Nothobranchius furzeri: one gene and its partners. The protein of the gene in region 1 binds, or shares a complex with, the protein of each later gene. Links are inferred from orthologs where the notes say so. Each region holds a gene or a part of one and is shown on either strand. Other genes may lie near its edges. The genes, in order: snrpf, prpf6 and cwc27.

Region 1 (3,753 bases):
ATTTTAAGAGGTCTTTCATATTTTATAACATGCTATTTGATATAATGGTTTACAAACACAAAAGGGTCATTTATTAGAGTACTCGATTAATCGATAAAAGATTTGATAGAGTACTCGATTAATCGATAAAAGATTTGATAGAGTACTCGATTACAAAAATATTCGATAGCTGCAGGCCTAATTCCTGCATCTATATTCTTTCCAGTGGAGGTTTATGGATTAGACTTTTAAAAAGCTGTTAGAACTTCATCAACTGCTGTTGAACTGATTTGCATTTCGCTGACAACTGGGTGCATATCCTAGATATTGTTCCCAAATATACATGCAAACATTTGAAAACACACCCTGCTTTGGGAACATTTGTATTTTACTGCTGCTGAAGGATAAATAGGCTGCTTTGTTAATATTAATAAGTAAAATTATAATTACATGAAGTTTCCTTAGACATTTTGGAGCCATGACTTTATTCACTTCAGTCTCTTTAGCAAAAATTCCCTCAAACTGATCAAACAACGCCCCCTGCTGGACACGAAGATAAACACCTTTCAGCAGTCTGACTATGATCTGAAGTTGAACTGATTAAAGAACATCAGTGAGCCCTGGTTCTGCATGTTTTAGTTCCTTACCTGCTCCAACACACCTGATTCAATAGCTTAATTCTTCTGAAGCAGCTCATTATTCGCCTAATGACTCAAATCAGGTGTGTTGAAGCAAAGAAACATAGAAAACAAGCAGGATGATGGGTCTAAAGAGCTGAATTTTCCTGGGGTACAAATTTAATTTTATCATTTATTTTGATTTGGCTTAACCAAATTTATGATAATAAAGAAGTCTGACACAGATAAAACCACACAATAAAATCATCAAGCAGTAGCAAATCCTGAGCAGGTATACAAATAATTAAATGGTTTATTTTTCCATGTGAGAAGATTCTGTGGTTTGGTTGTTAGGAGGAGAAACGGCACCCACCTGCATGTTCATGTATCCATCCACAGACACCAAGTAGCCTTTATACTCCATACCCCACTTCAGCTTCACCATCACAGGTTTTCCCGTCAGGCCGTTCAGGAAAGGCTTCGGGTTCAGAGGTAAACTCTGTAGAAGAAGAACAGAGGTCAGCAAAGCCATTACATCCCACACTACTGAAGAAAATTAAATGCATTTAACGACTACATTTCATGAATTTGTAACGCTGCTGAACAGCAGCGTACCCCCAGCCGTCCGTCCTACAACACAGATACTCCTCACTCCAACATGAAGGAAATCCGGATTCAATTAAACGTTTTTGCGTAGAATCCAAACTTTAAATCTACTGCAAAGTAAATCATTTTTATTGACTTTACTAATGAATTACTTAATGGCCAAACAGCTGTTTAACCAATCTAATTTTATTCATAAAAAACGTTTAATGAATCAGCGCAACTGATCTGTGTAATAAAACAAGCTGTTAAATCCTAATAGTGTTATTTTTCTTTAAATTGCATTATTTTGTTCAATCACTATTAAATTTTAATATGTTCTCCCATAACACAAAGGTTAATCCGGGTCAGGTGGTTTAATAAAAAGGTTTAAATGCTTTACTGCTGTTTTATTTACCTGCAGCGTCAGCCTGACGAAGTTTGCAGCCGCAAACGAAACGTTGCAGGCAAATAAAACCTTTCTGTGTTTTAAAAATAACTAAAAGATGGAATTAGAATTTCAACACAGCAAGCACACACCAAAGATGCTCTTAGCTCATTCTGAGTCGCTTGTTTTAAACCGATCATCTCTCTTAAGGCTAGCTACAGGACACCGTGGACTTAAAGGCCTGAGGAGTTAGCTCACATTATAAAGATTAAATAGCTAAAGGTCGAGAGACATATTATTAATATATATTCATTTCCTTATGGAAGCTTTTGATAAACGATCTTAGCGAAATAGTTTGGACTTTATTTTGCCAGGAAGCGAGGGGATGCTAGCGGTTGATGTAGCCTCTGCGGTCTTTTCTCTTGTTTATTAACAGTGATGAACGAGTAGACGGCTTACAACCCAAAGGGAATAAGAAACCGAAGATTTATAACACCAGTTTTGTGTTAATATGTGTTTGAGGGTGTGAAAGGTCTAGGTCGAAGTTATGAATGAAAAGCTAACATGGCTAACGCTAAACAACAAAAATACACTGAATTAAATCCTGATAGTTCATTCGCAAGACGATAAAGATATACAACGTCTTACTCACCATTTTATATCAAATTAAACAGCTTTAATAAGCTAAATCAAAAAAGTAAAATATGTTCGTCTCGATAACGTTTGCAAACCACGAAGCACGCTTTACCGCCGACCGGAAGTACAACTTTCCGACCTGGGCACGAGTCTCCGTGCTTTAAACAGCGCCTCCCAGTGGCCGGATGAGCGAACTGCTACCCAAGTGATTTAGTGTAAAGCTCCAAAAGTTTCCCCTCTTCCTCTCATTTACAGTCACCCATTGAACAGTAAACTGTGAGCTGATAAACGAAACGTGAATTAAACACCTACAATATGTATGCACGATCTCTGGGGTTGATATGTCAGTTGTTTATAGAGTATCTGCTATATGTTCGTGGCACGATACAGAAATAAAGTCCAGTCCAAAAAGTTGTATCTCCTCTACATTCACAAAAGAAAATGGCAAAAAAAATCAGTTATTAAGTCCAGGAAAAACTAGTAATAATTTTCTTCAAACTCGTTTTCATTCTCAGCAACAAGATCATGTCATCTGCCTTGAGTTGAACTCCTGCTCTATTTATGTCATGCAGGATCAGTGACTGATTGAAAACATATCGGTTTAGGAGCTAAACCTGGCACGACTGTCATAACTGGGTCATGCTTGCTCTCTGCAGCTTTGTTTTTCTCCAGGCACAAGAAGCCCGATGTTTAAAAAATGTTTTCTGCTCTGAAGCGTTTGTCTGTTACCAAAAAGTCAGGCAAGTTCAAACCTGCCATGGTGAATAAAACCGAAATCTGACTTCATTCAGCAAATGGCTGGGTTTTGTCAGAAAAATTCCTATGAAATTGCTCTGGATCTCTCTCTGCATGTTTGAAATACTTGTTTCTTTACATCACTGAGTATTTTCCCGACCTCACCTTTCCAACGTGTAATTAACCCGTCCATCAGACAGTCTGGTCTCAGTTATGGGATGGAGACGGTACGCGAGGTTTAGAGAAGTGGCCAGTCAGAGGGTGCATGAGTTGTATGAGAACTACTGTTGGCATGAGGCGTAATAAAATCTGTTACAGACAGACAGACCGACTGAACCGATAAAGAAAGCATAATATATTTTTCATGTGTTTAAAAACGTATTTAGAGCTGCAAAATGATGAAGAGACACAAATAAATTTGCAGTGTTGCAAAAACTGTAGTCACAAGAAAGTAACTCGTGCAAAGCAACCAAAAACAAAAGGGAAATTATTTATTAATTAAATATGATTTTAAAATAGCAAAATTAGTCTTACGAGGCTATAAAATAAAAAAGATGACATTTTCACCAAATGGTCACAAAGATTAGAAGTTATGAAATAAAAATCATTTAAATTAGTAACAAACAATGAAAAGAAAACTACAATTTATTCTAAAAGACCAATAAAATCAGCAAAACGACCACAAAGAGACACAAAATTACATAAAAGCGATCAAAGTTACCAGAATGACAACAATCACAACAACAACGTTGCCTCTACAAGTCGAACGGCTTTAGGAAACATCGACCGAAGAAGCTGAAAAAGAGAAAAATCACC
Region 2 (3,753 bases), on another chromosome or scaffold:
ATCATCCTGACATCGACCTTGATCAGCTATCTGTAGGTCAGCTTTGAGATAAACACACACATGATATGTGGCTCTTTCCTTTAGTCATATATAAATGTGCATTTTATTGTGTTCTAATTATTCAATCAAAACAAAATCATCATTTAAAGACTCACAAGGACATAAAACACACTGATGGGAGGAAATGCAGTTTGAATTAAGCTTCATATTTAAATCTGTCCTTGTACATGTGAACCACCTAGCATCTAATCCATCTGACGGTCAATTTTCTTCCCTAACATCCTCTCCCACGGGTAAAATAACACCATCCCTTCAGGCGATGTAAATGAAGAAAGATGTAGAGGCTGGATCCCAGGCTAGGAGTGAAGACGGCTGAAGTTAATGCGATTGAAACTAATTGATGAATGGTTTCACATCATCTCATGAGATAGATCCCAAAAATGTCATGTTAGCATGTAATTACTTATTGCACTCTGGCATCTCTGTTTGAGTGTAGGTTTCTGAACCTGAAATGTCAGATGAGTTATTGATGTAGCATGTTGGCATGTGTCTAATGGGAATTAATGGAAATCATCACAAATGCATGGCTCATTTGACCTAAAACTATGTACATTACAAGCAATATAATATATGTGCAGTCAGACAGGCAAGGAGTGAAAATATTGTATTCAATTTTCAAACAGCATAAAAAATGATGTATTTCTTTCAATTTGGCAACCTAATTATCTGTGGGATCAAATGTCATCTGAGTCATCCTTGTCTTAATTAGGGCTGCAGGTCCATTAGTTGTTTCTGTAAACAATGTCTAGGTAATAATTTTTTACTAAACAAACTAGAGAGGAAATGACAACAGTATGTATGAGTATTTATCTTACTCTACCCTACCTCCACTTCAAACTCTAACCCAGGACTGCCAACGTAGGAGTGAGACAGCTTTTCTTTTTTTTTTTTTTTTTTTTTTTTTTAATGAACCAGATACTGATGAGGCATTCTGCATTAGGCCAGTCAAAAATGACCGTTCTCAGTTTTGCACAACTTGAGGTGGTTCATTTAGGATGGATGAAGATACTATGATTTATCTAGTTTTTCTTTTTATATCTTAAAATTGAGTATAAATAAATATCACGTGTGTGTGTGTGTGTGTGTGTGTGTGTGTGTGTGTGTGTGTGTGTGTGTTTATGTTGTATATAAACATTGTATATATGCATGTATATAAGTATATATTTTTCCCTCATTGTACTATTTTAGACAATTGTGTTTTGGTGTTTAGAGTAGCATATCCTAAAAGATAAATACTATTTACTCAGTTTAACTTTATTCCATCTAATTGTATTTTTATTTTATTTTCTACAGTTTGGCGCACCCGTGTGGCAAACTTTAGCGGTCAATCAATCAGCCCGTCCTGTTGGGGGCGCTGTAACAGAAAACAAGAAAAAGGAAGGAGTCGAGAGCGGAAGTTAAACTGTTGTTCATCTGCTAGTGAGTGTGCACGTCGTTGCAGCAACGATGGCTACCTCTGGAGCAAAACAAACACCTAAACTTGTCTCCAAAACCAGCGCGGGGGGCACAGGGGCGAGTGGCGCGCCCCCTGTAATACCTCTTGCCTCTCCGCTTATGGGGAAAAAGAAGAAGCCGTTTCTGGGGATGCCCGCTCCGCTAGGTTACGTTCCTGGTCTCGGCAGAGGGTAAGCTAATTTGATGCTAAGTCGTTAGCTCCTCCAGTTGCGTGTTTGTTGACAACTTGAATTGTCCACCTTCTGCATGCAGTGTCAAATAAAACAACATTTTAAATACATTATAACAATGGTTTGTGCTGTTTGCAACAAAGGACAAATCTCCGATCTTAAGGGTTATGTTGCGGTTTCAGTGCCACAGGATTCACCACCCGGTCCGACATCGGTCCTGCTCGGGATGCCAACGACCCCGTGGATGATCGGCATGCTCCCCCAGGGAAGAGGACGGTTGGTGACCAGATGAAGAAGAATCAGGATGATGATGACGAAGATCTAAACGACACCAACTATGACGAGGTCTCAATAACTAAATGCTTTTGTTGGCATTTAATACTTCAGTGCATCCAGTCAATAACTCCTGTTTGCTCCTTGTACAGTTTAATGGTTACGCTGGCAGCTTGTTCTCCAGTGGGCCTTATGAAAAGGACGATGAAGAAGCAGATGCTATATATGCGGCACTTGACAAGAGAATGGATGAACGGCGCAAAGAAAGAAGGTAAACTATAAAACTAATCTACCTCTTGACCAAAAAAGACCAAACACCTACAAAATAAGTGCACAGAGCATCCCTTTTTCATCCCTGTGTTGATTTAATGTGTTTCTGATACTGTCTGTGGTTGCTCGTAGGGAGCTGAGAGAAAAGGAAGAAATAGAAAAATATCGTATGGAGCGTCCTAAAATCCAACAGCAGTTCTCAGATCTGAAGGTAAGTTTTCCACATTTATTCTATTGTATTCACGATGCCATTATTTTTAGGTATCTATCTTTAATGCATTTTGTGCAGGTTAACAGCTGACTCTGCATACTGATTTGTTTGCATTCATGTTTTTGTGCTTTTAAACAAATTTGTGATCTTATTTGCCATTTGTGAAATGGTAATGCAAAGGCACATGAAATTACAATTATTAATCTCTCTTAGGATCAGACACGCATCTCTGTTTTATCATTTAATTACAGAGAAAACTAGCAGAGGTGTCGGAGGAGGAGTGGCTGAGCATCCCTGAAGTTGGAGATGCCAGGAACAAGCGACAGAGGAATCCTCGCTTTGAGAAGCTCACCCCGGTCCCTGACAGCTTCTTCTCTAAACACCTGCAGACCGGAGAAAACCACACATCTGTTGATCCGTTACAAGGGGTTAGTAGTCATGAAAACACACTACAAGCAGGTCACCGAACATTTGTTGTAGTTTCACCTTGCCCCAGCAGGAGTCAGAATAACTGTTCAGAGATGTGCAGCCATGCATTATATTGTCAGTAAATATCTGCTTAAGAGCATCAACCTCATGTTTAAACTTGAAACTATTCATTTATCTACTTGATTTCATGCATGCAATGTTTAAATACTTTAACTGGAAACAGCAGTGTTTACTTAGACAGAGCTGGCTCCATGTTTAGTTCTGCAGAATATAAAGCATCTTTTACGTGTGTCAGTTATAGCTGTGAGAAAGGATTCAGCTTTCTTTAGCTGTTCACACACGCTGTAACACAATTCCTGCTTTCTGTCTTGGTAGCTGGGCGGTCTGAACACACCATACCCAGGCAGCATGACTCCTGGAACTGGAGACTTGGATATGAGGAAAATCGGTCAAGCCAGAAACACTCTCATGGATATGAGGCTCAGTCAGGTAGACCTATCTAAATCCTGAGCTTCTTTCACATTTATCAAGATTTTACCTGTTTTTATTGTTTTTCTCTCCACTAAGGTGTCTGATTCAGTCAGTGGACAGACAGTGGTGGATCCTAAGGGTTACCTGACAGATCTCAACTCCATGATCCCCACTTATGGAGGAGACATCAGGTATAGAAAAGTTGCCCATAGGAAAATTTCCTTTTGAAATAACTTCTTATGTGTGTTTGATGAATTACACCTAAATCTCACCCAGCGACATCAAGAAGGCTCGCCTGCTGTTGAAATCTGTGAGAGAGACTAATCCCCATCACCCGCCGGCCTGGATTGCTTCTGCCAGGCTTGAAGAGGTGACGGGCAAGCTGCAGGTCGCCAGGAACTTGATCATGAAGGG
Region 3 (3,753 bases), on another chromosome or scaffold:
AGTTTAACTCGTAGTTCGCGATTGTTGTTAGCGTCACAATGCACTCTGGGTGGTGACGTCATACGGTTGTACCTCGGTTGCACCGGCCGGCTTTGGGACCCTGTAGTGACTGTTAAGCGACATCGACATGTCGTCTGTTCAGCCTTTTCTATTTGAACCAGAGCGAAACATTAATGATGACATCACTGATTATGTTTCACAAAACGAGCATCAAAATGAAGAGCAAGAAGGGCGGGATGAAGCGAGAGCAGGACAAAAGCAGTGGTGTGTGTGCTGCAAATGCGTCTCCATGGGAACCGAAAGGGAGAGTGTTTGTTGTTAAGAGCTCATATTTTTGTCCGCAGAAGTTAACGGTAAGCTGTCGCGTGGTCAAACTTATTCAATTATGAATTGTTTAGGAGAATTTTAGCATCCAGAGCTGTCGTGTGCTTCATAGATGATTAGGATATTCAGTAAAACAACTTTAATCATTTTTTCAGATATTGTATATTTGGAGAACACTGTGTTGCTACACTTACTGCTTGTCTTACTGAAGGGAGAGGTGAATGTTCAGCTTCATCTGTGACGAGTGGCGTGTCCGATGGTTCGCCCAACGTGACAGAAGCGACAGCTGCAGGAGCGGGTTGTCGGCTCAGGAGAGCGTCCAGCGTCTCGTCTCTCTGAGAGACAGTGAAACTCCGCCCATGCCCACTCTGACAAAATGTGCCTACTGGACCAGCTTTATACCCTTACGCCCAGATCACACTGTATGATTTTCGGCTGTCTTTGCCAAATTCCTAGTCCTGAGCAGAATCGTGACAAAAAAAAATACAGTGTGGCCGGCTCTGCGACAACTTTTTGAGCCGTCTCACGACCAAATCAGCTTAAAAAAGTCTTCAAGCATGCTTGAAAACCTGGGACTCCTGTCTGCAACCGACCAATGAAAACACACCTTTTGGGACGCCGCAGCAGCAAGACTCCGCCTCTCTGAGCTTCAGTTTCAATACCCACCAGTTTTTATTTCTGTTAATAGAACAAGTTAAACCAGAGTTATACTAAAATAATTAAACTACCTTTTTTAGACCATCAGATAAATTGTGGACAGAGGAAGCTCTGTGACAGCGGGTGTGAGCTGTCACATGGAGCGGATCTGCGGAGCATTGAAACAGAATTCACGGCAAAAGTTATATAGCAGCGATCTGTGACAGATTGTTACTTCTCTGTAGTTTAGTGGGTTCTTGTGTATAAAGGAGGAGAAGGATGAATGACCAGCTGACAGCTCCGCTGTTTAGCTGGAAGACGAGAAAAGGAGACCTGCAGCCGGAGTCTGACGCCAAAACAAAGGTTTTAAAAACGTAGCTTCCTGTTTGAGAAAGATGAGCTGGGTCATGAACTGACACTAAAACTAAGTGTTTTTATCTTTTCAGCTTTGGGTAGTGACCGAAAGAATGAGATTGGAGATAAAAGCGCCCTAAATGAGTTTTCTCTGCAGGGTGGCTGGGCTCTTCCTTAGAGATAGGGTGAGGAGCTTGATCATCTGGGAGGGGCTCGGAGCAGACCTGCTGCTCCTGCACATCAAGAGGAACCAGTTGAGGAGGATCTAGTTAAGATGCCTCCTGGACACCTCCCTGGTGAGGTTTTCCGGGCATGTCCAACCGGGAGAAGACCTAAAGCAAGACCCAGGAAATGCTGGAGGGACAATGTCATTCACCTGGCCAGGTAACTCCCTAGGATTCCCCTGGAGAAGCTGGCCTTAGTGGCTGGGGAGAGGGAAGTCTGGGCCTACTGCTGCACCCACAACCCGACCCCGGATAAGCAGCCGAAAATGGATGGATGGATGAATGGATAATATACCCCCTTTAACATACATGAGGTTCACTGATATCTGTACTGCAGTAAATATCAATATGTACATATGGATACTTGTATTTTTTTGGAATGCATCATCCACAACTTCTGAATTTCAGATTTTTCCTCCACGGACCGTTTTTTAACAGCACGGTCTACCTTACCTTCCATGCACAGCTGCACAAAGTTCCTGCATGCTTTAGGAGTCTCCTTGGACCACAGCTCGATGTCAATTTCCCCTGCTGAGGTCTTCATCAGCACCTGAAAAGCAGCACAGCAAAACATATCTACATATAAAACTACTTCTCCCTAGCCTAGTGAACTAGACCAAAATCTTTCTTTGCAAAGTTTTTTTTTTTTTGCACAGAAGTTTGCAAAGCAAATAATATATTTATTTTGTCTCGCTTGCCAGGCTAACTTCTCCTACCATCCCGCTACTTCTATGGCACACGCGTTCACCTCCTACTAGCAACATATCAACAACTAGCTGGTAACATATCAACAACTAGCTGGTTTCAACGAAATGTGTATAAACTTTACAAGGAAAAGCTACACTGCATGTTCTTAATGTAAATACAGACAAAATAAAAAGATAGGAAGGCACTCACCTTTCCACTTGTTGGAGGTTCCTGGATATATATGTTACTCATTTTGAAGGTGAATCTGCTTATGTGCTTCGAAAAAAAAACGAAATTCTAATCTTTAACACCTTTATACCTTCAACTCACGTAAAATGTATAATAGATAAACGGTTAGTAATCCTGATAACTGCTTGTACTTTTCCCGAATGTTGCAAATTTCACACTTATCCTCCAACAGCCATGCTAGTGCAGTGTTTACTTCAGAGAACACGGGGGAATCCTGATGTACTACTCTTTTTTATTTAGTATACTCTGCTGTTTATGATAATTATTTAAGATGTTTATATGTTTTCATTTTGAAAATATTTTTTCACGTTCATAACAACCAGCTAAACCGCTAACGACAACATAACATCAAAAACAATCGCAGGCTCAGCCCCTAAAAGTGAAAATGGTTGAATCCACACGATGTTCAGCGTTAATAGGCCCATAGAAACAAAGCATAATAACAAGTTCCGCATTAAGCTTCTATTACACTTAAAATACGAAAATATAATCCAGTTTTATAATTTAGGGTGCATTCTAAAATATTACTTAAAAATTTACAATCTCTAATAAATTTCGCTAAGTTTCTGACGGAGCAAAATTAAATTCAGAGCGCAGCGGAAGTGCCGTAATTACGAAAGGACCACACGACGCTGTGCAGCAATGGCGGAGGTTGAAAACAGTTTGGAGTTAAAACGAAAAGCTGATGATGTTCAAGATGAAGATGGAAATGATGAAAGTACAGACTGGGTTGGACCCATGCCAAATGAAGCATCAAAGACAAAGAAACGAAGAGGTGGGTTAATGACACTGAATTTACCACAATGGTTTGCGCGAATCCACTTTTCAGTAAATCCCGCTAATTCTGGTTCGGTTATTTCTTCAGTCCTAGAATACGAGCGAGTCTACCTGGATAACCTCCCATCAGCTGCCATGTACGAACGGAGCTACATGCATAGAGACGTTATCACACACTTGGTGTGTTCGAAGTAAGTGGAGAAAAATACCGCGGTAAAGTTAGCTTGAACTTGGACGTTGGATATTTGACAGACATTGGTTTACACTGTTAGCGATAAGTCTTTATGCCGTGCACTGAGCACAGCGATGTGCTGATTTCCGAGGACTCGCTATAAGTCCCTTAATTTTGAAATAAAATCCTAATAAAAAAGATCAGATTGAGTGAAATGTGTTAAAACTGTTGTGTCTTGTAAATGTAGTTTAGTAACACATGTCAGAAGTAATTTTGAGTCATTTAGGAAATTATTCTGGAAGTTTAAAAACAATTTTGTACTCGTTTACA

The links.
Region 2: snrpf (region 1) and prpf6 share a complex: the UniProt entries of both Homo sapiens proteins name them as parts of the U4/U6-U5 tri-snRNP complex. The link is inferred for Nothobranchius furzeri from reciprocal best matches to the Homo sapiens genes SNRPF and PRPF6.
Region 3: snrpf (region 1) and cwc27 share a complex: the UniProt entries of both Homo sapiens proteins name them as parts of the minor spliceosome. The link is inferred for Nothobranchius furzeri from reciprocal best matches to the Homo sapiens genes SNRPF and CWC27.

What each region holds. Positions count from the first base shown.
Region 1 is NC_091741.1:34,923,574-34,927,326, forward strand, and holds the start of snrpf (small nuclear ribonucleoprotein F), read right to left. Parts: upstream 2,359-3,753; 5' UTR 2,222-2,358; coding exon 2,219-2,221; intron 1,096-2,218; coding exon 970-1,095; intron 1-969. UniProt on the Homo sapiens protein: Plays a role in pre-mRNA splicing as a core component of the spliceosomal U1, U2, U4 and U5 small nuclear ribonucleoproteins (snRNPs), the building blocks of the spliceosome.
Region 2 is NC_091755.1:59,889,564-59,893,316, forward strand, and holds the start of prpf6 (pre-mRNA-processing factor 6), read left to right. Parts: upstream 1-1,451; 5' UTR 1,452-1,506; coding exon 1,507-1,685; intron 1,686-1,867; coding exon 1,868-2,030; intron 2,031-2,110; coding exon 2,111-2,229; intron 2,230-2,360; coding exon 2,361-2,439; intron 2,440-2,690; coding exon 2,691-2,867; intron 2,868-3,243; coding exon 3,244-3,357; intron 3,358-3,435; coding exon 3,436-3,530; intron 3,531-3,615; coding exon 3,616-3,753. UniProt on the Homo sapiens protein: Involved in pre-mRNA splicing as component of the U4/U6-U5 tri-snRNP complex, one of the building blocks of the spliceosome.
Region 3 is NC_091746.1:63,257,113-63,260,865, forward strand, and holds the start of cwc27 (spliceosome-associated protein CWC27 homolog), read right to left. Parts: upstream 2,789-3,753; 5' UTR 2,478-2,788; coding exon 2,436-2,477; intron 2,089-2,435; coding exon 1,992-2,088; intron 1-1,991. Other genes in the region: ppwd1 (peptidylprolyl isomerase domain and WD repeat-containing protein 1), read left to right, coding at 3,117-3,249, 3,340-3,442. UniProt on the Homo sapiens protein: As part of the spliceosome, plays a role in pre-mRNA splicing. Probable inactive PPIase with no peptidyl-prolyl cis-trans isomerase activity. As a component of the minor spliceosome, involved in the splicing of U12-type introns in pre-mRNAs.